Linked DNA regions of Daphnia pulex. The protein of the gene in region 3 binds, or shares a complex with, the protein of the main gene of each other region. Links are inferred from orthologs where the notes say so. Each region holds a gene or a part of one and is shown on either strand. Other genes may lie near its edges. The genes, in order: DNA polymerase alpha catalytic subunit-like, DNA primase large subunit-like and DNA polymerase alpha subunit B-like.

Region 1 (8,015 bases), on a different chromosome or scaffold from region 3:
GGCCATATTGCTTCCGTCCTATTTCACAAGTTTGTTCATATGTTTATAAACTTTGTTTTTATTGCATTGGCAATTCAATCGAGTCATTAAATACCTGACAAATGATGAACGAAACTGTATCGCCTTGTACAAGTTTCTTACCACCCCGGGAATTTGTCCTGATTGCAACTTGGACATGAGAAAGATTTTTTGCGTCGGGGTAATTTTCTGGATTCTTAGTTAGCTGTTTGGTAATCTCTAACAAAGAGAGATCAATGGTTCCGTTCTGAAATCCATCACGAATATCTTCTAAATTTTGTTGAATCCGAGCGATTCGTTCATCTGCCGATAAATCACCTAATATTTGTTCCAGTGCGTACCTGGACCAAACCAAATTGTAATAAATAAATATAGATGCTGTCGCTAGCCCAAAGAATCAATACTGAAGATATTTACTTTCCAGCCCGAGTAGCAAGCTGCGACCAGTCTCTTCGTACAATATCCAGACCCTTGACCTCTTGTTGAGTAACCATTTCTTTTTTGTTATCACGGATCACCTGAGAAACTGTAACGGCTGCGTATTTCTTTTTCTTCAGCAAAAGTAAGCGCTGGAATACCCCATCAATGTCGAGCTCAAGGTGTTTGTACAACTTATTGACTTCCTGTTTAATCTGAACAAAACAACAAACAATTGAATAAAATAACATTTAGGAATAAATTCTGCTGATAATGGTTACCTTAAGACCCACTTTCATGACTTGATCATAGTCAACTGAATTAGAATCTATCATTAACGAATCAGTGTCTCCGTAGATGACGTCCAAATTCATTTTACGGACAAGATCCCTAGTCTGCAGTAGAATCTCACGTCCTTTGGCTACAGAAAAATGCAATGGAAATTAAAATGCATAACGTTAAAGCTGAAATGTAACTTACATGTAATAAGCGCGGCCAAAGGTTTGGCGTAAAAACGTGAATTGGAAAATCCCAGGCAGCCGTACATGCTGTTTGCCGTCAATTTCAATGCTTTCTGTCTGATATCATACTGAAGTAAAAGATCCTTAGATAACTTATCGTTGATGAGCTTTTTCACTTCACGTCGACTGTCAACCAACTTTCGAATTTCAGTAGGCAAAATGCCAAGGGGCAACGTCGGATCAGGTAGGTCGGGAAGAATTTCTTCTTGTCCTTCAGTTGCTTTAGTTGCTACTTGTCGATCGACAGTGGTAAAGCATATATTGAATTCTTGAATAATGCTCGGGTACAGCGAGTTGAAGTCCATTAAAAGAACAAACTTGTCGTAGAAACCTCGCTTGGGATCCAGAACCAAACCACCAGCATAGGCTGGTTTCCGACGACCTTTCTTGCTACGATTAGCATTTTCAGTCGAAACATCCTCAGGATCAGAATCTTCTCCTTTCTTTGATTTTTTAAAAGCCTGCTTATCTGGAACGATAAACCCCTTCTCGTGAAATGCATGGAGCAATAGATACTCGTTGCGTTCTGAACGACCTCCCAGAAGAGTTCGAGAAAGCAAGTTTCCTAAAATATTAGAAAAATTTGCATAATTCTTTTCATTAAAATCGATTCCTTCGAATTACCTGCAATCGAAGTAATTTGCAAAGCTAAGGGAAGGACGTTTAATTCATACATCAATCTTAGTGTGTTCGCGCCATCTTGCATAGTAATGGCTATCATTCCCAACAGACTGGTTGAAGTCGAGTACATCTTTTTAACAGAATCTGAACTCAAATCTGGGCGAACTCCGTTTAAATGTAAAACCTTATTGAACAAGACAATGCATTAATTGAGATGTATAAGGTGTGGTTCAATTATCAAACCTGTTGACACAGCGTTTCGAGGTCGTAGCTCCTTGCGCGTATAAGTTCTTTTGCCGAAATCTTCACATCACACACCAAACGCCCACTCATGACAAGATGACTGCGACTGACACCCTTTAAATTTTTTTATTATTATTATTCTTACTTGAGTGTTAATCTAATGTCTAAGCAAACCTTAGACATAGGCATATTGGTGCGACGTAGTCGGCCCAGACGAGACCACTGATCTACTTTGTTCTGGGTGAAACGATGGAGAAGTATGTCCAAGTCGTAGGAAGCTACATCGTGCCCGACAATTACATCGGGGTCGATTTTGTTAATTTTGGCCAGAAAAAGATTAAGCAGGGCTCGTTCGTTCTCGGCTAGTTCTATTTTCGTTAGTTTTGTCGTTTTCATGGTATCGCGATGATCTAGTGGCCAAGGTTCTTCAGATGGACGGCCTACAACTACGAAAATTGATTTTTTTAAACATGTATCTTCATTCAATCGTTTCCATAATTGTAGCTTACGACAAAAATGCTGTTGAAACGGAGGTTGAGGAGCAGCACGGTCTACATGAAATTCGTTTTGTATCAAACAACTGATGGCGACAATTTCCACTTGCTGAGTGCGATTGTTGACGACAGTGCGCAAATTAAGCGCCATTACAGCCAATGGAGGCGGCGCTTCTCTTTTATCATCTAACTCAATTTGATCCATGTTAGAAACAAACGCCTGAATACAAAATAAAAATCATATTAATTAATTTTCGATTTTGATTTCGTTAAAAAAATATTTTCTATACCTCCACTTTGCACCAGCTCACATGCGGGTTGGCCTTCTGGGGGTTCTTGATGTTTAGCCAACAAGGCCCTTTAACGCGTTTTTCCAACAAAAAGTTTTCCAATGCCGAAGTATTGGCTCCAAAGACGTGGCTGAATGTTGCACCTTTCAAATTCGTAGGCAAGGAATGTTCAGCAGAGTATTTCACTTCAAGATATTCGCTCTCGCGAGGAATGCTCGGTGGTTCGAATCCATATTTTTTCAATACACGCCGTGATTTGAACTGCAAAATTTTGTAGCGATCTGCTACCCGCGTATTAAATTCCTCGTATACATCCATAAAATTAACCGGAGTTCCCGTGTCCTGGCCAGTACGCTGATCGACAACCTGATGAAAAAGGAAAGCGACAAATGTTCCGTACATGAATTTATACAAATGATATTGGCAAGTTGAGTTTTTGCCAAAAGTTTTCAGGTTAGATAAAGATGTGTATACCGTATCACGTGGAAGTACATATATATGCTTCTCGATATTTTTTACGGAAACGCAGCAACTGACATACGCTTTAGCCGACTCTATGAAAATTTTCCCAAAAAGAAACACGGTGCCAGGTTGCATATACGGATCTTCGTAAGCATCGAACCAGTACATGCGCAAAAACTATTTAACATAATTGTTAGTTGAAACTGCAAAATAACAGTCAAGTATTTATAGAACCTGTTCTCCATCTTCCCCTTGAGTCAAGGGAAGCTCATTACTCCCTAAATCCAAAACAGCTACACTCTGGTTAACGTCAACGTTATTTTTAATGGTTTCCCATCCCGAAGTAAGATCGAATTCGCTAAAAATACATCAGCAAGTAGAAAGAATGTATCTAAAATAAATATTAGATTGGCGGAAATGCGACAAACCTGATGGTAGGAGTTTGCTTCAGTTCTTGAAGATCAATACTTTCTTCACAGGGAGTATAAGATGTCGTAATTGAGGCTTCACTTGATTGCGTATTGATTTCTGGTTGCGAATCGAACTGGTCGATGTCCATAGGCTGGCAGCACATAAAAGTGAAGGTAGTATGGAACGGTTTATTATTAGTATTAAATAGATTAGAAAAGAAATAAAATAATATACGTACTCCATCCATTATAAAAGGATTATCATCGCATAATGAATTTGAATCTTCGATTGATGCACAGTCGTAGGTATTGTCTTCTACATTGGATGCCCCTCTGCCAAAAGGCAGACGTTTGGGCTGCAGGGAATAGGACGGAGTTTACAGGGGAAAATTAAAGAAAAAATTTTTCTGATACCTCTGCTTTCAATAGCCTCGATGCCACTGAAGTGCTGGTTATCCGTGGGATCGAAGTTGGTGTACGACTTATCAACGATCTAATCATTTCAAAAAAATTTAATCAAAACACAGAATCAAAACATGATCTAATTTAGTTCTAATAGTTTTTGGTACCCAGAAGTAATGGTCTTCTTTTTAAGAGTGGAAACTGATTGCCTCAAGGGAGCATTTGAAGGGGTGGAATTCAGTTCTTGCATGATGTCTCCTAAAATGTCATCATCTTTAGTTTTGGCATCTTTCTAAAAAGTGAAATCAGTAATAAAAGTAATAAACCTTTGAAATTCCATAAAACATTCATATAAGTGCTAAAACAGACCTCTTTGTTTTTAGAGGACATGCCAATTAGCATATTTTTAATGTTATTTTTTTTTCCAGGAACTCCTTTTGACAAGTCCTTCTTCTTATGACCCCTGGCTGCTCCTTTGGCTTGGGCCATATTATCATCATCCAGATCATCATCAAACACTTCCCTACCATCTTCAACATATCCACTTCCATCTGATTTTTAAAATATTTTGTGAACAAGGCATTTTATAATTTAATTTTGGCTTTACTCTATTACCATCATCAATAATCCAATCATCTTCTTGTCGTCTTTGAACTCGTTTGGAGTACTCTCTTTCATCAACCTCTTCATAAACATTATCAACTTCCGTCAAGGTAACTTTGTTTTTAGTACCCTTTAAGTCTTTTAGCTTTTGAAAGGCTGCAAATTTCCCTTCACGGTCTTGTTTAGTTCTCCGTGTACGACCTGAAAATCAATCAGGTGGTAAATACAAATAACACGAAAATGAATCAGATGTAAAGGTAACTCACCACTTTCCTTTTCTTGACTAATTTCCTTGTCATCAGCCATGACAATGGTTTAAAAATAACACAAAATAAAAAAACACTCAATAAATGACGAGTAAAATTTCTAATGCAGGTCTTGAAAATTTTGAAACGATCAGGAAAGACGAAAATCAACCGATAAAAGCTATAATGCAGGAACACTGGACAAAAGGCACAGTTGTCTACACATAAATGGCCGAATTAGTCTTTCAGCTCTTTCCCGCGTAATTCTCTAATGGCGCGGCGTTGCCGAATAAAAATTGCTGGCTCACAATTCGAAGTTTACAAATGTTATAAACTTATAAAGATAATTAGTAACTGTGTTTGAATTACATTTTTGTTAAAGTTATAAATCAAAAGTATGATGTAATCTGTAAATCAAAAATCAAAAATTAATTATTTTTACATAGTACAAAGTCATCTATTGAGTAATGAATGAAACAGCTGTTGGCTACCAACTTTGGAAGAAAAATCCAAAGCTAAGCCAAAATAAACAGTGTCGTAATTTGTAATAGGGGACAAAATCTTCCATCAATCAAGATGGGAAGTTGTGAGGGATTAGAGATTCTCGGTGTTTTGAAAACAGCACAAGAAGGTAAACAAATGGTTTTGCAGCTAAAACCAAGTATTGAAACCACTTGGGAACACTGTGGATTTTGCGACTTCAAACTGGATTCTGATATAGATAAACTACAATCATCGAGAGAAACTGAACACTCGCATGCAATACAGGGAGTATTTTCTTTCATTCCAAGCAAAAATCAATGGACTCTCACTTTTTCCAATTGTGATAAAGAGGAACAACATCAACATGTAGGAAAACCTTCACCAACATGTGAAGTAATCAAGAATGACATCACAATAAACAGGCAAAAGAATTTACAACTGCAGTATGAAGTAGATGGGAAGGTATTTGAATTAAGAAGCACATTCTCAGCTAAAAAGCACAGAAATGTGGAGCCATCCAATAACAATTTTGCCACTTCAAACAAGTCAATAACACAGCCAACCAAAGCAATTGAATTTGTCATTGAAAACAAGAAATACTCTACTTCGTCTGTTAATACCAAGGCATTTGAAGAAGCAGTTGTTGTTGAGGAAGAAAGATCTACCCTTGAAGCCTCACTGGAACTTCTTCAGGTTGGAGTGAATTGAATTCCTTTACCTCCACAAATTTTATTCAATATAAAGATTTCAACTTACAAAAAATTTAAAAATTTAATTTTTAAAAATATAGGTAAAACTAATGGACAAGTGTATTGTTCCAGACCAAATTGGTTGTGGACCAGATACTTCCACCTTTTTGCAAAATATGAGAGAATTGGCAAAACTTCTAACTCCCTCTGGTCAGAACCCATTTAAGTGTGATCAATGTGAAGAGGAAATGACCTCCTACTTCCCATATGTCGAACATGTTTTTAAGCACTTCGGAACTCGACCTTACATCTGTAACGTGTGTCAAGCATCTTTTCAGACAAGGGCTGTTATGAGACATCACCTTGATATGCACGGTAATTTCCATCTTGCATTACTAAAATAATTCATATTTGCTCATAAAGTAATAACCAAATTTTTTAGGCGGGAAAGCGCCTTTTGAGTGCGAGTTTTGCGGGAAGAAATTTCGGAATTCTTGTCACATGAAACAACACCGAATGCGTCACGTAAATAATAAAGTATTAATAAATTATTGCGACGATAAATAATACTTAATTATTAATTCAGACCGGAGAACGACCTCACAATTGCCCCTACTGTGAAAAGACGTTCGCTCACAAAAACGTGCTAAAGATACATTTACAAGTGCATACTGGGGAGAAGGTTGTTTGGTTACATCAATAACTTTTTGTGTTAAAAATTTAACTAAATTTGTTTGATTATTCAATAGCCCTGTTGTTGTGATCTATGTGGAAAGCTGTTTCGTGAACCGCATCGTTTAGCGTGCCATTTAGCTACACATTATCGGTATGTGTTAAAACATTTGCATTACCTACAGTATACTGGTGAGAGGTAAACATCATTATTTAAACAGCTCCTCGAAGTCACTAGACTGTTCGGCTTGTGGCAAAAGTTTCAAAACTAGTGGAATGTTAAAACTGCATGAAGCCAAGCGTTGCAACAATAAGCTTACTACAGATTTGGAAAGAGATACTGAGGACCAGGGCCTGGAAACTTTGCAGAATGTTGCTTACATAGAAAATATAGATGATGCGCATTTTCTTGATACAGATCACGAGGTATGTAATTGTATCTAATGTAATCTACATTTGGGAAAGAATTTACTAATGTTAAAATTTTCGGTGAAAATACTTAGGTAACCATCATAGAAGCAGAATCTTTAGAAGTCCTCCCTGTAAACACTTATATTGTGGAGCCATCCGGTGTGGGGCCTATGTTAGTACAATTTTCTATTGATCAAGACGATGTTCAAGAAATTCCTTCCTTGGAAGAATCATTAAATTCGTGATGTTCGTAATACATCTCTCCTTTAATTGCCAGTCTTCGCATTGATTTATAGAACCCATTTTGAAATTTGTAAATACACAAAGGACCATATTTTTGTCTTTACTATTTAGTCTCAATGAACCTCCTCAAAACATTATTTGATATGTCTGAAGTCTGAACTTAATTTTAGCTGTACCTTTGGATAATTTTATGTGCTTAAAGTCACTTTGGATTGGTTATTGCGCCTTCGGATCAGAGTGTTCGGACTTTGGATGTTGAATCAGTAGTCCGCCTAGACAGGCACATGGGCAGGCGTAATTTTCAGCAAGACTGGTATTTACGTCTGAGCACCATAGCTATTAGCTACTGCCCTCCTACCACTACCTGTACTCAGGTAGTACTTTCCAGTTTCCACTAATAAAGTCCACTTGGTCTTTATTACCGCTTTTGCGGCTGGCGACTTACGAGTTACCGGAGTTACGAGTTACGACTTTACAGGCTTGCGACTTGCGAGTTGCGACTTGCGAGTGCCGACTTTCGAGGTTTGGCAGGACTGCATGCTTTGTTGCAGACGACGCTCTCTTGATTGTTTTTAGAAAACAGTCAAAACAGTGAAACACTTATTTTCGTTCCTGCTGTTTGGTCACTGGTAAAGTCTTTAACAAAAATGTCATTCTATTTAATTGAATTTTTGAACTAAACAAAATTAATACTAACTTCATATCTTGTATAAAATTTCTTATTATAGGACAGTGCTGCATCATTATTCGGTTGAAAGTTCTGAATGGGCATCAAAACTAGTATAAAAAGG
Region 2 (8,231 bases), on a different chromosome or scaffold from region 3:
AATTGTTCTGGAAGCGTCCATAACGCGGGGCATCGATTAGATTTTAATGAATAACTATTCCTCGATAGAAAATTCGCGATACATTTTATACGTATTCTGTTTTGATTTAAATGTGTAGATAGACTGGGTAAATTTGTCTGTTTATTTTACAATTTCAAGCGAAATGTTCCAATATGATTAATGGGTAACATATATGTACGTGTCTGGTCTGGTGAATACACCGAATAGTCGTCGAAAACGTAACATTCTGGTAGACTTTCACTTTGTTGTATTCAGCGAACTTTTAGGTTAACATATGGAAATTTATCTTCCGTGAAACATTTACTCTGTGCTGCATCATTGCTGGTATGTCTTTCTTTTGAACTATGTCTTCCATGCTAAAACGCTGCAGTTTTCTCATTTCATTGGACTCGGCATGTTCTAGTAAGTTTGTTACGCTTCTCCAGGTTGCGGTAAATGATTGACTCATTGTCTCGTGAGCTTCAAACAATTTGGCCTGCCACTGCGTAGAAGTTGTGGACGCTAAACTAGTGCCTTTCCATCCATGACTCTGCTCTATGGTTCCTTTCAAGTCATCATCCACTCGAAAGGCAATAGTGACGTAGAGCACCGAATTTTCTTGCTTCACTGCTGCAGTGTGAAACATCCAACCAGACGGAATTACGTTAATCACCGGATCATCAATCAGACAATGACTGACAATAGTCTGCTGCTCGCAGATAATCGGTACATTTACAATGCAACTATCCATAATACTATCTTTCATCATCTCGGCATCTGCTTCTATGCAGGACAGAGTTACAATTCCTTGAATTCTAGATGGATTTCTGAGGAATGATTGAACGTGTAGCTTCATCCCCAACGTCTGGAATAGTTCGGATGCAGGATTCAGATTTTCCAGATCTAGAAATAGTACAGAGTTGATGTATTTCGAGCACACACACAAACGGGTAAATAATACTTACATTCTGGCATAGTTCCTAAATGGTAGAAATGCGATCGCTCCAAGATCAGAATGTTCAGCGATGTATCTCCGAAATGACTAGCAATTTTGCGTTTGATTGTCGAGGAATTAGAAACATTTTTCCAATACAGTTTTTGTTCGGCAGGACGAGATCCCATGCAGGCTAGAAAATCGCCGTATATACACGTTTCGTTGCGGTAGAGATCCTCACATTCCTCAGCAAACGCCACCATTTTCCTCACGAGTCCTGGTCGGCACCAAAACATGCTGTCGGTATATACTCTTTCCTCTTCATTATGGCCTTCAGAAAAGATTTTTTTGTAAAGCGCGATAAAGCGCAACTTGAATCTGACTTAAATTCTCACCAAATTTAAATAAAGCCTTTTTTGTTTCCATAGTGACATAATTCGGTTTCTGTAAAACTTCAAGGCAAGGGCTTAGCCTACAATTCTCCTCATTTCTACACCACTCTGGAAGCACGTACACACCATGCGTATTTCCTAATTTTCAGAATGGAAATACTAATTTTAATTTTTTTGAATAATTTCTAAATTATGATCTAGGAGCTCCTACCTATTGCAATAGTGGATGGATGACCAATGGCTACAATTCCATCTTCATCTAGTTGGTTAAACTTTTCTTCAAGACTTTCAAGACCTGAGAGATAAATTATTATGTAATACCAAAAAGGACAAATGAAAAAAAGAAAGAAGAATTATTAAACAATTACCTTCTAAACAAAAAGTTTCTATATCATCAGAAGCACAAATAAATATTCCTCCATTTTTCATCAGTTTAAGAAAAGGTGAAGTAATAATAAATTTTAAATTTAGAAGTGTTATTGCTTTTCCTTCAACTTCTAGTGGCAATGGACAAAATAACTTTCCAGTACAGCTTAAATTTGGTAATCTTTTACTAGATCCCCCTAAAATAAAAATATTTTTTAAAGAAATAAAAAAAATAGTATTAACTGAAACATGTAAGTAGGCCTATAACATCAATTCCTACCAGCATGACTAATCCAAATTTTCATCTCAAATAGATCATTGGCAAAAAGTTTTTTTAAATGTTTCAGAATATGAAAGGTAGATCCACCTGACCCCAAAGCATATCCAGGACAATCAGCAATGACTAAATATTTAGTAGCCCTTGGTATTTCTCCATTTTCCAGTTTCTCATCAATTTGCTGTTTGAAACATTCTTTTTGTTCTTCATCTCCGGCAGATATGACTACACAATCCCAAAAACCATCGTCTAAACAGATAAAAGGTAAAATGTCAAACAATCTCACTGACTTGTGATAATTTGTGTGATGGATGAAGTTTTTACTTGTTAAAAACTAACCTAAAGATGTTTTGTTAAAGTTTTCCGCTAACTGAACCATGTACTTCTGGATTCGTTCCATTTTTGTGACTGTTGTAGCATTTTCCAGGACGACGTAGGCTTAGTAACTTTGCCACGTAAACACTTTAAACAGTCCAAATTTCATATTTCAGGTAAAAACACAGATGTTTATTGACGTATTCAAAACATGGGAATTCAGAGACCCCTGGAGGGTGTTAGAGAAAGATAACACGGGTAATTTATCGGACTTCGGATATGATTCTGAGCCTAAACCTTTGGGAAACGAAGTTATTTACTGATACAGATTTCTGGAATTAAATATGTTTTAATTTTTGACGAAAAAAGCGAAAAGTAGTAATCATTTTCATATCACAGGTAATGTGTCGTCTGTCTCGTGTCCCGTGTGGTTAGTTTGAATTGCAAAACAACGAACTCTTATAGACATACCATGGACATACTGCAATTAGCGAACTCTTTCATTTTCATAGAGGCATTCGCACTTAATTATTTATGGTCCAAAATTTAATTACAGTCGTCGCAAGCCCGCAGCTGCGTGAGACAATGAATTGGGTGAGGCAAAGATTAGATTTCCTGCAATCCTTGCAAAATTCTAATTAATAAAAACTTTGAATAACTTTAAAGCTATTTAATATGCATGATTTGTATCTAGCAAGTTCGCAAGTCTTCGAATTTATTTTAGAGCGGTTGCATTTGCATGCAACTTGCAATCAATTTGGAATCCTTTTTTTTTCGCCAATTTTATATCTGGCATCACCGTTGCTTTAGTTTGAGCGCGAAAAGAGATCTTTTGTTGTTTCATTTACCGTCTGCTACTCTGCTTTATGTTAAGTGTTAACCGCGCAGTAAACTTGGTAGAAAAAAAATTTTGTTGAATAAATTCCGAGGGAAATAGTTACTTTTAAAAATGGAATTTCAACGCAACACAGTTCGGCGAACTATAAAAAATTCTATGAAGCTAAGAAGTGAATATCCTCATTCTCTGCAACTATATTCCGTACCTCCCAGTGAAACCATCGGTTTGCAAGAACTTGAAGATTGGGCTGTCGAACGTCTCAAAGGTATAATAATTGGTCATAACTTCTTATTAATTACCTCCGTAATTACTTCAAATTTTTATCAACAGTTCTTAGGACAATAGAGCGTGTCAATCTGAGTAAAAATGCCAGATTCTCTGATGATTGGAAGACTGCCCTGAAAAATGATTTACAAAAGCAGAACTTGAACAGTTGGTATCAACTGAGCTCAAGTATCAAAGATGATAAGATGGATGAAATCATTTCAAAAACACGACAGAAAGATCATGTTTCTCACTTCTTGATGAGACTTGCATATTGCAGGACTGAAGAGTACAGGCGTTGGTTCATTGCTCAGGAAACTGATCTCTTCCGCTTTAGATTTTCGATGGAAAGTTCAGAAGATATCAGGGCATTTATGAAAGAAAACAAAATGAATTTTCTACCCGTATGTAGAGATATTGCAAATATTCACCAAATTATTACTTATTTAATTATATTTCACCAAACATTTTACAGATTCCAGAGGAAGAAAAAAAGAAGATATTGACTAAACTTATACATGCTGCCCAATTTAATGCCAATAAAGTTGATGCAGTGGAATATTACAAGGTTCCCTTTACAGAGGCTTTAGATTTAGTTCGCCATCGCAAAGTATACTTGCAAGCCGGATTTGCATACATTCCAAGCGAGGACCTCGTTTCCATAATCACAGCTATGTTCCGCTCTCATTTATCACTTGCTATGGCGGTAAAAGAAAATAATTTTTTAATATTCACTGAATAACTTATTTAAAGATATTTTTTTTATTGGATTGAAGCTTACTATGCGTTCACTACCAGAGCTAGAGGACGATCATCGAATCCGTCGCTTACTGAATGACTTTGATAAACGATATACCGGTCAAGATTTTAACTCTCTACAAAATAAATCTTCTGGTGCCGCTGTAACACCAGAAATGATTGATGGGGTAAGACCAACAAATTTCCGTGCTTGCTTTATAAAAACAAAAATAGTAAATCATTAAAATGTATGATTTGCAGTTGTCAAAACAATCTTTCCCACTCTGTATGAGACATTTACACGAGACATTGCGTTCTACTCATCATTTAAAACACGGCGGACGTATGCAGTATGGACTTTTTGTCAAAGGAATCGGACTTAGCTTGGAAAATTCATTGAAGTTTTGGAGGGAGGAGTTCTCCAAAAATATGGATATGGATAAGGTTGGTAAACCTCCACCGAGGATCAAAGTTTCATCAAAACTTCTCCTTACATTTCCCTATTTCCTTTAGTTTGAAAAGCAATACGCATACAATATTCGCCACAATTACGGCAAGGAAGGAAAAAGAATCAATTACGCACCTCAAAGCTGCATCAAAATCATTACTGCCAGCGTAGGTCCGGGTGAGAATCACGGTTGTCCGTTCAGACACTTTGATGCTGCCGTCCTTCGACAGAAAATGACAATGAATCGTGTTCCTCAGCCAGGTAGTAATTAATTTCATATGCATGTCTTTGATCACGTAATTTAATTTGTTTTGGTGCCCTTCTAGCGATTCAAGAAATAGTCGATCTAGTGACACGCCATCATTACCAGATTGCCTGCCAGCGGTACTTTGAAGCCACGCACAACACCGAGATTGATAGTGGTATCCAGCACCCAAACCAGTATTTTATCGAAAGCCAAAAGATCCTCAACGGTGAAGTGAAGGAGAAAATCAAGGGAGCGAATAAGGTACAGACCATTCGTGCTACTCTTCCAGCTAAAGTAGAGAAACTTGAAACAAATGAAAATGAGGTTCTCAGCGAATCCGTTTTAGCAGCAATTGATATGGATGATGATTTCAACTAAATAGTTTAAATCAACTTTTACTTGAAAGCCGTACAAAGGGTTTTATCGATAAATTGTATCTAGCTAGAAGTATTGCGCACTGCATTCGGTTGATCAATAAGATTCCCCAACTGAATAAGCTTGCCTTTTAGAAGTTTGTAACAAAATCGTAGAGATCGTATGTTAAGGCGCGTTTGAACTTAACTTGAATATCTTTCCCACGGCATCAGATGTATATCATTTCTTATCTAAAATGTATCCCTGAAACTTTGCGTAATTGAATTTTGTAAACTCAAAGTTTCATCCGAAAAGAAAGTTTTGGTGCATTATTTGAAAGGGAAACTTGCGTCCGCTCAAAGTACTTTTTGAGGTTGGTGTGCTTTTTCCTAATCGTCAAAAATAACTTTTGGAACAATAGAATAATAGAGAGAGACATACTTCGTGATTGGCACTTGTGTATTTTACTTTTCGGTATGCATGCTGTACAAAATTTCACAGTCACTAAACGCTGAAGTTTACAATTCAGTGACTTTGATGTTTTTAGTACACGGAAGCTGCGGGATAAAAACTTTTAAGAAAGTCTAATTAACGAATCCCTGTTTTGAAATAATCTCGCCACATTGGGGAGAAATTGAACGATCTAGAAAAGTAATAGTACTATGGTTTTTGTGTATATGCAAAAAAAAAAACATTCTAAATTAACAATACAAACTTTGTGTCTTTTGGTAAATTTCGATCAAATTGTAAAATCTCCTCAAGCTCATCGTTTCAGCATGATACCAATTATGAAAAAAGGGATGACTGAGGAGAAGGGAAAGACGACCATTTTTTAATATGTAGATTGCATGGCAATCATCGTACCAACACAAGGTTTTAACACATGGCCGGGAGTAACAATAATGTACACGTAATAATACCGCCACCTAAAGTGGTTGACCTATACACGGACATTTTTCGGTTTGTCATCGCTTACTTGATCGTTGCGGTAACACGTTAGTCTTCCGCCATAGACGTTGACGGAGCCACTTCCAGCAATAACTGCAAGAATGTTGTAACATAACCTTTACAGAATTACAAATGATCAGTGAATTAATTGTGTTTCCTTTTTCCCTTTTAGAGATTTTCAATTGTCAAAGCACTTACTCATTCCGGGCAACACTTTCTTATAATAAACGAAAGGTACGTAGAGAAGGAATCCAGCCAGAATGAACAAGGTAGCGTACAAATACTCGATTTTCGGATTGTCCACGATTGGCCCAATGACCAGGTAAACGGAAATGATTAGCACGATGACAGGAATGATAATCGGTACCTGCATTTCAAATTATTGTTATTCTTGTCTTTTAATTGGCTTTCCAGATTTCAACTGTACCTTGTAAGGCCTGGGTGCGTCCTTTTTGGTGAACCTCATGACGATCAATGCGAGCATGGCGGCTCCGTAAAAAATCCATGCCGTGAAGCTGAAAAAGTCAATTAGGCTGGCGATATCTCCTGGGATGATCATCATGAGCGCAACGGCGCTCTGTGTAGGCGTAAGTAAGGAAGAAATTTGTAATAAATTCCATGTTACGCTGAACTTTTAGTAGTAATGATTTTTTTTTACATTGAAAAGGAGCGCAGGAGATGGAGTCAACCGACGGATGTGAACATAAGAAAGGACGTCGACTAGATGCCCTTCTCGACTCGCCACGTAGCACAACCTAAACGAACGTAATTATTCATTATTTTCTAGCGAACGTTCATTAGTGATCAGCAGCGTCGTTCTACTCGGCGTTAAGCAAGGTTAATTTAACCAAATGGAGCGTTTGAGGAAAATCAAATTCTCCTACCTTCCACCGACGAAGAGTGTCCCATTAGCACTGCCGAAGCAACTGATGCACACGGCTAGTGGCATCAACCAAGCTAAGGTACCCAGCGCTCGAGTGCCGAAAGTCTGTATCCATCACCAACACCACCCCGACCAGACATTCGTTTTAGCAAGAAAGAAAATGAAAAATTGAGGATAGAAAAATAGTCAACCCCGAGATGGCGTTCAGAGACAGATCGCCCACGACAGACAAGTGACGACGGACACGGGTCGGAGGATTTAAAAAACAGGAATCAATTTCAAGTTTGAAAACTAACTACTCTCTACCGCAGAAACATGCAAAGCAGCTTAGTTGATTATTTAATAATTAGCGAGCGAACAAAAGCTAATTAATTATAATAACAAGCAAGCACTATTGATCGATGATGAGATGGACTGAGATATGAATCAACCTTCCGGCTGTGAAGAGACTTCCGTTGCCAGCGCCGAATGTGGACAAGACAACACCTAAAGGCATCAAGAACGCCATGGGACCCAAGAGTCGATTGCCCCAATCCTGAATGGGTAAACAAAAAAATCACACAGAAAACCCATGCAGTTTTAACGATATAAGAAGCCATGCTGTGTTGACTAGTTTAAAGTAAACTACAAATTAAAATCTATGAATCTCTACTAGTGCTGTGGAAGTTAACAAAGTCATCTTTGTTATATTCATGCAGCAGTTAAAACCGAAAGACGTTTGAAGAATGAGGGTTTGCATGATTTTTTTTCTCAATAATCCATGCCAAACTTAAAACGAAAAAATGTACAAAGTAAAAAGAATTGCGTACCACGGCGACGGCTTCGGACTGCATCATCTCCGTTGGCGACAGGACGGCCAGGTATGCCACGTTGACCAAGACGTAGCAGGCGGTAGTCAGAGGAATTCCAATCATGATGGATCGAGGAAGATTCCTGATTTAACCATGTCGAAAATTCGATCCCGAACGTTAATTCCCATTTTATAGGTTTTTGTTATGTGTAACTGTAGTGTGTCTTACACAAAGGGATTCTTCAGTTCTTCAGTGACGTAGTTCAGGTTGTTCCTGTTTTCCAGAAAAGAAAAGAAAAATGCAGTCGTCAGTGATTTATCCTGTGGTTGAAAGCGAAAAGGAAATTTACCATCCGTCGTACGCCCAGAGACCACTGTAGAAGGCAGTGGCGATGTCACCGAAAGATGTAGTTGAACCTTCAAATCCCTGGCTCAGG
Region 3 (8,312 bases):
CAATTCTGGTATTATCTTCGTCGGGGGAATAATCGCTAATTCAGAAGCTGATTTAACAATCATGATGAATACCCTTAAAGGTTTAAAACATTTCTACTTTTGCAGTTGACAGTAATTAAAGCAAAAACTTTATTTTCCCCAAAAAATTCTAGGAATTCTTGAAAACCATGGCTCTTGTATGAAAGCACTATTATCTGTTTGTCTCTATATCAGAGACATGGCAGATTATCCTCGAATTAATAATATTTACAGTCAATATTTTGATTTAAATCCACCTACGCGAGTTTGCGTCCAAGCTCCTATTACTTGCTACGCAATAATTGAAGCCATAGCCACTTTGTCAATTGATCGCAAGCGTTCAATGCATGTTCAAAGTATATCCCATTGGGCACCGGCTAATATTGGTCCATACAGCCAATGTGTCCAAGTATGTGTAGTATCCTTGCCGATTAAATATCATTCATCACATTTATGAATTTTATTTGTTATTAGATAGGAAATCTTCTTATGGTTTCGGGACAGATCGGTTTGATCCCTGGATCAATGACTTTGCCAAATCCTATCAACTTTCTTGCAGAGTGTCGCCTTGCACTTCGTCATGCTGCTCGTGTTCTCAGCGCAATGGATACGGAAATTTCTCTTAGCCATGCCCTACAAGTATGCATTACAGGATAATTACTATTTCTAAAAAATTTAAATTTCCAACACAATTTTTCTAAGGTCGTGTGCTTTGTGCGTAGTGAGGTTCATATACCTGTAGCTAAAGCGACATGGAGAGAGTATGGTGGTGATTCGGATCAACCAATTGCTTTTGTCGTCGTTAGCAATTTGCCAAGAAATGCATTGGTAGAATGGCAAATTTGGGCTCACCGGACTGAAGGATCAAGCGAAAAATTCTCGGCAATAGTGTCACCATCAAAACAAGTTGGCCATATGTACGTGACCAAATGTGAAGACGCAACAGCTTTAATTTGTCAGTTATGTACGTATATACGTTAATCCATTTTTCTGTTGCAATATTTATTTAATAATGCTTTTACCTTTTAGTGGATATTCCTAATGATGTGAATGAATGGACTACTCTTTACCAAAGGCTTGCGCAACACTTGGGTCAAAATCATGCTCTAAGAATCTTTTACAAGATTGATCAAAATGGTTATAATTGGGAAATGTTAAGAGATGTAATTCCGAAATCTATTGCATTAACTTTGATCCCAGTTTGTGGATTTGAACCGGGACAAGCTGTTATTGTTTGTGGCATACACTTTTGAATTTTTGAAAAAATGACAGTATATTTTATTTCAAAAATCAATTTTTATAAGACGACACGTGCAATATTTTCGTTTGATATTTCTCACTTTTTCCTTAATTTGGCCTGGGCTTTGTCAGTACAGGAACGAAATGGACAATTCCACCGCCCTTCTGGTATGCTGCGCAATCCGACACAATATGTGTGATATCCTCGATCACAAAAATCGCAGAACAACATTTTCTCTTCGTCAGCTGGATCATGGCATTGATCGCAAGTCTTGCAATCTGAAAAAGATTTAAAAAATATCACCCAATCTTGATGTGAAACTCTTCTTCAACATACCGTTACATTCCCACGAATAGGCGGCTACTTGAGGCATCATACTTATGTCCAAATTCCAGCAAGTTAAATGACCTAAAACAAATCAGTGCTGTAATTGTTTACAGGTATTACAAAATTCAATAACACACCATCAGCTTGGCATTTGGCGCAACGGACGAGAGGCTCGGGATGTCCTGTTTTGTTCCGCCGTCTATCACCTCGACAAATTTTACACATGCCGGGCTGCCCAAGGTACTGAGGGCGATCTTCATCGTCTGAATCGTCGTCATCATCTTCGCTGGAACTTGAGGTATCATCGTCACTGGAATCAGAGCTGAAATTGATAATAACATGTTAAGAGGATTCCCTTGATAGAGTGGAATTCATAATACCTGGAATCATCTGACGAGGAACTAGAATCATCTGATTCCGTCTGACTTGCAGCAGCGGAATCGGCTCTGGTGGAAGACCCGTTCGTCGGCCGCCTTTTCCGCCTCTGAGAAATGTCTGGCTGACCAACCAGTGGTCCTCTCATAACTGTACCAATTGGTAAACAATTGAGCTGGTAAGGGCTATAAGTCTTAAAGAAAGAGGAAAATTGCCCAGGAATCACTGCTACTGGATAAGGATCCGAAGGAGCATTGACTGGCTTGAGCGCAGCCGCCCTCCTTGGAATTTGAACTGTAAAGGTCTGTAAGTCGAGACAATGCAATCGTTCTTCAACACGCTCCTTGTTGAACATAACATTCCACTTAGCCGCAGCTTTTATAGCCCGCTGACGTGGATCGAATGACTTTTTCTCGGCTGGTGCAGCCGGAGTGGCCACTGGAGTAGTTCCTTTCGTCTTTGACTTGTAAGCTTGTTCCTTCTTTTCGCTTTGAGCAGCTAAATATTCTTCGTATTTTTCAGGGAAAAAGTTGAAAAAGAGATCAAGCACCTCACAACTCAACAATGCAGTAAGTCCGAGATTAGCTTGCGTTTCACTAACTACGTTTCGTTCCCGAAGCCAATCCCGTTCCACCATTTCCACTGCTCGACGCTTCATATCTGGATATTTTCTTTTGAAATTTCCTTTAATTGACAAATAGTTAACTACTTGCTCTTGGACCATCCACAGTTCGGCATTCGTATCCTCACACGGCCAAGCGTATTCCACTAGTTGTGCAGCGGTAATTGGTGTTTGCGAACTGGCATCAAAGATTTCACGAGTGCCCAGTTTCTTTTTTGCGCTTGAGGTACTCAATGCTTTCCACGGAGATTCATTTGCACTCTGAACGGGAGAACTGAACGTTGCTGATCCACTAAAAGAGTTTTCTACACTCATTCTAGTATCTTCTTCTAAAACTTGGAACTTTGGGAGTCTTGGTCGGGCAGCCCCACGTGGAGTTTTGGGAGTTCGTCCACGTCCACGTCCTCTACCGGTAGAGGTAGACGGACGACCGCGTCCCCTTGTCGGAGTGTTGAATACAGGCTCAATATTCTCTCCAACTGATTGTGCACTGGTGTCAAGCAACTCGGGAACCGGTAGTTTTTTTCGACCACGACCTCTGCCTCTCCCTCTGCTTTGCTGAGCTGGTGGGGGTACTTTAACAAAATCTGGATCAGCTTCAAATGGAATATCTTTGGCACGACGTGGGAGCTTTTCTCTGGTGGCATTTAAATCATAAACTTTTCGTTTGTATTTCCGTCTACCACCCACAGCACCATCAAGATTTTCTTCTTCATCTGCTCCTGGAGTGTTCGAGGCTGTGGACCTGTCTAATATATTTGAATATGCAACACTTGAATCATTTGCACATTCATGTGAACTTTGGCTGGCTAGAGAGAGGTCTTGTGACACCTCATTGTCATCTAGTTGACTGTCTTCTAAGGTTTGATCTTCTTCATTTATTTCTTCAAAACTTTGTTCATGTTCCGCTGCTGTTGCATCTTCAACCTCATCTTGAGGAAGCATTTCATCATCAACTTCCATTGTAAATAGTCAAATTTAAAGTGAGTCTTGGGATCTGAAACATACCAATGAGACAAGTTAACACACATTCACATTCCTAAAACATTTGAAATTGTAATTGCAACAACATTGATTTTTATAGAGAAACAAAGGAATTACTTCGTAAATTATCAGTCAGTAAGGTTGTAAATTTAAAAAAGTCCGAAGACGATATCTTGTGCTATATAGATGGGATTTTGAATTCCTGAGTACACTTTTAAAGTTTTTAAGAAATAAAGAGTCTGTTGATACATATAAACATTGGATGACACACTACAAGCCACCGGTTTTAGCCTTTGGCTATACTCGTTTCCGTTGAGCATTTACGTATCGATTCTATCACAATCGATTTATAAGAACATTCCGAATAATCTTTTCAATTTATTTTTTTTCTAAAAGTAGGAGAAAATAAAGAGTTTCAATTGACGAATGATAATGAATTTGTAAAATTTTGTAAGATATTAAAACAATTCCAAGAAACTATTGAGGTAATAAAATGAATAACTGGTTTTTCAAGAAACAAAAGATTGCCGCATTTTTAGCAGCATGCGGCAGTGACGCCACCAACGATAGGATGGGGGACTATTCGGAACGAGGGAACTATTTATTCTTATGCGTCTGCGCTCTGAAGAACCATTGGACAGATCATGGAGTTGGATCACAGCAACTTGTTGAATGAGTTTGAAGATTTTGGTTTAACACCCAATCTCAAAGTCTTGATTAAATGTAAGTGTGTTTTTTTAATCTTTCTTGATGGTTCATTATGATTTTAGATTTGTCTGTCGTGGAGGTTATTTCGTTTGAGTGAATTATGCCATAGTACAGTGTGACAATTTTGAGCATTTTATGTATGATTACGAATGCAAAAGGGCAGAGCGTGGTCAGTAAAGAGACGCCTTATTTAACGTCGTAGAGAATTTTCGTAGTTTTACTATTTTTGTGGATGCAAAATTTCATTTTTATATAGTGTTGATTGAAACTTTTTTACAGGTTCAGAGCTGTTGAAAAAGTACGATATCACTGCTGATACCCTAGTCAATCACTGGATTGGTTTTGCTGCCACAAAATTAAATAATGAAGCTCCTTCGCTGGAAAATTTGGGGGCATTTGAAAATGACCTCTCCAAAGAACTATCCGCCAAAACCAAAATTAAAAGTGAACCTCTGAGCGAGTCTCCAGTCATTCACAACATCACCACCATCAATCAGTTGTAATGTCGAGCTTGATTTTTCCCAAAGCAGTCTTAATATTAAATGTTTTATCTTTTATTCCTTTCAGAGCTGAAGATGATGAGCTTCTAGTAGGCTATGGAACACCTGCCAGGAAGGTAAAAAAAGTTCCTTTTCTTTGTATACTGTAAGGGTCTTGGGAGATGGATTGTGTACAGAGTACAAGGTTGAAAAAAAGCGCCTTTCAAAAATCTACCTGGCTCACAAAGCATCGTGGCGCCTTTTTCAAGGTCAAATATTCCCCTCCACCGTTCGTGTGTCGCCGTGGGCTACACTCGGAACCTCCGCACACACATCTACCTGCTGACACAACTGCGGCCATTTCTTTTTGTTGAGTTCTCTCAATTTCCAAATCGGTTGTCGAGGAAAACTAATCAGAAAGGGATGGAAGAAGTTAACCGATATAAGAAGGTACCGTCCCCATCCTGATGAGGTTTCATGCAAATAGCAGTTGGAAAAAGTTTAAAAAGAGAGAAACACGAAAAAGAATCTGAAATGGGTGGAGATGATTTGTCCCTCGACTGTTGCTGCTGCTGCTGCTCAAGAGTAGGGGAGGTAGAGAACTCTCTTTCTATTGGTAGATAGGAATTTTATAGGTAAGAAGAGGCTTCTTTACCTTTGTGCGTGCGTGTTGAGTATAGCCTTTGGTGTGTAACGAACCCCTCCACCTCATTCACCCACCTCCCCCACGAGCGCACACACGTTCTTCGCTCTCTTGTGTCGACGTGTTTTTGTTCCCAGAAAGAAAGTTAGTGCGCAGTCTTAGCCTTTGAATCACTGCCATCTTCGCTCCCAACAATCCCAACGAAAAACGTCGATTCGTTCTGTGTGTTTGTTAATCCGTTTTAGCCAGGTGAAAACATCAGAAAGTCTAGACGATCAACAGTTTCTTTCGTTTTAACGAATTTTCCATTGTTGGCGAGTGTTGCTTAGCTTGGCCCCTCCCTTTTTCTTGCGCTTTCCCAGGGACTTTGCCTCGAGCTACAACGGTCGTTTTCCCATTCCACTCCACCTCTCTCTTTGACTCGATCTCTCTCCCTCACCTGTACCTGCAGGGAGGGAAGCATTTTCTTTTCTTTTGGAGACGCGCGTCTCTCAGTCGCCATTACCTGGTGTCGCTCGATTAATCTCCTTCTTTTCCATTTTTCCCATCAAGTGTAGAGTTATTTGCTTTATTCAACAATCCAGTCGCGTTCGGTGGATATGGTTCTCGTGACATGGCTTTTCATCGGCTTTGTATTCCGAGTGTACATGACTAGATCCATACTCACCAGACGAGGCTGGACCAATCACCCAAAGCTCTTGACTTAACATTTTTTTGATTTGTTGATTCTTTTTAATGCTCTTTTGTCGTCATTGTTTGCCCCGTCGTCCAGGGGGGATGATGATGGAATTTTTTTCCGCGCGGGAAATCGTCCCCCCCCCCACAATTGTGAACAATTGGAAGTTTTACTCGGCAACGTAAAAATAAAAACCGGAACCGGAAATGTGAGCGAATGTCCCCTGTATGTAACGATGATTGTCATTTCTTTTTCCATGTAATTCTGCAGCAATGACGGTTTATTTGATCGATCGGAAATTCCATGGCGAAGGTTGGGCGCTCTCTAGGTGGGTCTGTTTCTAGTGCATGTGTTTTCTCAGCGCGTCATTCATGACTAGATCCATACTCATCTAAAGGGACCCAGCCATTCTACAATTTAAATTTAATCGAATTTATGCATGTGACAATAAAATTATGTCGAAATAAAATAAAAAATCTCGTGTTCATTTGGATAATTCGTTGTTGTATTCTAAAATTTTGACAGTCGTCGGTGGGAGCCAAAAGGACAAGCGGATTGGAAGGAACCCCGCAGAACAAGCGTCTAGCAGGGTTGGGTCAGGCGTACCCTGTGCACAGTCCCTCTGTATTCTCTCCTTCCACGTAATTAAGGTTTTATTGTCTTCTCATGAGCCCAGTATAAAAGAAACAGTTCTTCACTGGTCGGAAAGAATAGGATCATTGACCGAACGCTACATATTAGTAGACGAAATAGTGTAGACTTGTCTTTGCAATGTTCTGTGTATTTCAACAGGCCTGGCACATCCAGCAAGTTTTCGACACGTAACAACTCTGGTGAGGTTGTTGCCAAGTATCCAGCTGACGCGGTCCTCGACTGGACAAGAACCAACGAAAGATGGCAACCGAAAATTCAACTTCATGGCACGGTCGAAACGAAATTAACCACCAAATATAATTACATGTTCAGTCGAATGAGAGATAAGTTCGACATTTTAGAAGAACAGATCAATGTTATTGGAGATTTAATTAAAGGAAAACTTGGAATCGAAGAATTCGAATCCAACAATGTTCTCAAATCGGTAGTTATAATTTTAACTAGCTTTGGGTGATTTAATGAATAATTAATTTTCAGGATGCTTTCCAAACGATCGGCCGAATCTGTTGTGATGCGACCAGCGGCTCTCGATTGAATACAGCTTCATTATTGCTTGAAGGAACCCGAATGATATCTTCCGGGCAGAGTGTTCCGCTTGATGTCTCGCAGCTCAAGGAGTTTTCTTTTTTTCCGGGTCAAGTAGTAGCTGTTGAGGGTAGTAATCCGACTGGAAAAAAGATGGTAGTTACTTCTATAACCACTCCACCAATAAATCCTGTCTTCAAAACCGACGTTTCATTGGAAGGTGGCCATTAATCATATCTCCCGTGTTTTTACATGTCAATATTAGATATTTTCGTGTTTAGGTCCCCTAAATGTGATGGTAGCGTGTGGGCCCTTCACGCTATCCGACGATTTGGAATTTGCGCCACTTGTTGAATTCATCCAGCAGATTAACACAATCCTTCCGCACTTGGTTATCATTATGGGACCATTTTTAGATGTCAAGAACAAAAAAGTGGAGAGTGGAGAACTTGATCATACCTACCAAGAACAATTTGAAATAGTCATGAAAGAACTTCAGACAAAGATCTCAAAGTATTTTAATTATATTTAAAATCATGAGTTAATTAGACTTAATTTTTTTTTTTTTTTTTTTTCAAGTCATGTACAGGTTTGTGTCATTCCGTCGTGGAGAGATGTTCACTACAGGGCAGTCTATCCGACTCCCCCATTTCAGCAAGAGAATAAATTACCGAATTTCCACTTTTTCTCAGACCCATGTGTCTTGAATGTAGAAGGTGTTTTTATCGCCTTGACTTCAACTGATATTCTCTTTCATCTTAGCAAAGAAGAAATTTCGGTGTAAGATAAAATCAGACCAGGAATTTTACATTGAAATTTACCCGCTTTTGTTAACAGTGCACCACCTGGTTCCGATAGGATGGGCCGACTGGTCTCCCACCTATTCAGCCAACAGTCTTTTTATCCTTTGAATCCACCAGCCGAAGAAATGAGTGTCGATATGGAACATGCTGATGATTACTGCAAGCTAACATTCACACCACATTTATTGGTGGTTCCCTCTGATCTACGCTTTTTTATCAAGGTAATTTAAACTTCAGTAATATGAAATTTCTGTGGTC

Evidence for each region.
Region 1: the proteins of DNA polymerase alpha subunit B-like (region 3) and DNA polymerase alpha catalytic subunit-like are in contact, whole or in part, in a cryo-EM structure (PDB 8G99), measured with the Xenopus laevis proteins. The link is inferred for Daphnia pulex from reciprocal best matches to the Homo sapiens genes POLA2 and POLA1. Residues at the interface, in XP_018112289.1 of Xenopus laevis: Met280, Tyr281, Lys282, Phe283, Met284, Phe285, Gln286, Lys287, Leu288, Met289, Ile291, Arg292, Val295, Ser296, Ile299, Glu314, Thr316, Leu320, Pro321, Gln323, Glu324, Thr325, Val326, Gln331, Gly333, Cys334, Asp335, Ser336, Asn337, Gly338; in NP_001082055.1 of Xenopus laevis: Gln548, Lys551, His553, Gln554, Asn555, Phe642, Glu645, Val646, Gln649, Asn652, Leu673, Gly675, Arg676, Phe679, Lys1137, Asp1141, Pro1143, Asp1144, Ile1321, Gln1322, His1324, Asn1325, Lys1326, Leu1328, Leu1329, Arg1332, Ile1335, Lys1336, Tyr1338, Tyr1339.
Region 2: DNA polymerase alpha subunit B-like (region 3) and DNA primase large subunit-like share a complex: the UniProt entries of both Homo sapiens proteins name them as parts of the alpha DNA polymerase complex. The link is inferred for Daphnia pulex from reciprocal best matches to the Homo sapiens genes POLA2 and PRIM2.

What each region holds. Positions count from the first base shown.
Region 1 is NC_060022.1:1,986,070-1,994,084, reverse strand, and holds the start of DNA polymerase alpha catalytic subunit-like, read right to left. Parts: upstream 4,982-8,015; 5' UTR 4,788-4,981; coding exon 4,748-4,787; intron 4,683-4,747; coding exon 4,494-4,682; intron 4,430-4,493; coding exon 4,248-4,429; intron 4,171-4,247; coding exon 4,046-4,170; intron 3,970-4,045; coding exon 3,891-3,969; intron 3,833-3,890; coding exon 3,716-3,832; intron 3,629-3,715; coding exon 3,495-3,628; intron 3,425-3,494; coding exon 3,301-3,424; intron 3,244-3,300; coding exon 3,079-3,243; intron 2,971-3,078; coding exon 2,605-2,970; intron 2,535-2,604; coding exon 2,330-2,534; intron 2,267-2,329; coding exon 1,995-2,266; intron 1,935-1,994; coding exon 1,821-1,934; intron 1,762-1,820; coding exon 1,581-1,761; intron 1,522-1,580; coding exon 916-1,521; intron 857-915; coding exon 717-856; intron 651-716; coding exon 436-650; intron 360-435; coding exon 95-359; intron 19-94; coding exon 1-18. Other genes in the region: putative zinc finger protein 66, read left to right, coding at 5,303-5,902, 6,000-6,273, 6,341-6,423, 6,485-6,580, 6,648-6,724, 6,792-6,996, 7,074-7,225, 7,427-7,598 and 1 more. UniProt on the Homo sapiens protein: Catalytic subunit of the DNA polymerase alpha complex (also known as the alpha DNA polymerase-primase complex) which plays an essential role in the initiation of DNA synthesis.
Region 2 is NC_060018.1:6,167,909-6,176,139, reverse strand, and holds DNA primase large subunit-like, read left to right. Parts: upstream 1-3,074; 5' UTR 3,075-3,233; coding exon 3,234-3,387; intron 3,388-3,452; coding exon 3,453-3,790; intron 3,791-3,861; coding exon 3,862-4,092; intron 4,093-4,162; coding exon 4,163-4,312; intron 4,313-4,385; coding exon 4,386-4,568; intron 4,569-4,637; coding exon 4,638-4,833; intron 4,834-4,898; coding exon 4,899-5,197; 3' UTR 5,198-5,609; downstream 5,610-8,231. Other genes in the region: DENN domain-containing protein 5B-like, read left to right, coding at 1-40; fucose-1-phosphate guanylyltransferase-like, read right to left, coding at 284-903, 966-1,265, 1,330-1,464, 1,538-1,621, 1,695-1,889, 1,973-2,218, 2,309-2,369; b(0,+)-type amino acid transporter 1-like, read right to left, coding at 6,170-6,237, 6,320-6,488, 6,549-6,698, 6,780-6,876, 7,436-7,539, 7,814-7,937, 8,024-8,068, 8,145-8,231. UniProt on the Homo sapiens protein: Regulatory subunit of the DNA primase complex and component of the DNA polymerase alpha complex (also known as the alpha DNA polymerase-primase complex) which play an essential role in the initiation of DNA synthesis.
Region 3 is NC_060020.1:1,704,328-1,712,639, reverse strand, and holds the start of DNA polymerase alpha subunit B-like, read left to right. Parts: upstream 1-4,149; 5' UTR 4,150-4,210; coding exon 4,211-4,289; intron 4,290-4,553; coding exon 4,554-4,773; intron 4,774-4,841; coding exon 4,842-4,890; intron 4,891-5,408; exon of another isoform or gene 5,409-5,677; intron 5,678-6,597; coding exon 6,598-6,713; intron 6,714-6,864; coding exon 6,865-7,150; intron 7,151-7,203; coding exon 7,204-7,471; intron 7,472-7,532; coding exon 7,533-7,764; intron 7,765-7,830; coding exon 7,831-8,031; intron 8,032-8,088; coding exon 8,089-8,275; intron 8,276-8,312. Other genes in the region: diphthine--ammonia ligase-like, read left to right, coding at 1-80, 153-427, 493-657, 721-982, 1,048-1,271; PHD finger protein 10-like, read right to left, coding at 1,355-1,536, 1,595-1,666, 1,723-1,907, 1,966-3,545. UniProt on the Homo sapiens protein: Accessory subunit of the DNA polymerase alpha complex (also known as the alpha DNA polymerase-primase complex) which plays an essential role in the initiation of DNA synthesis.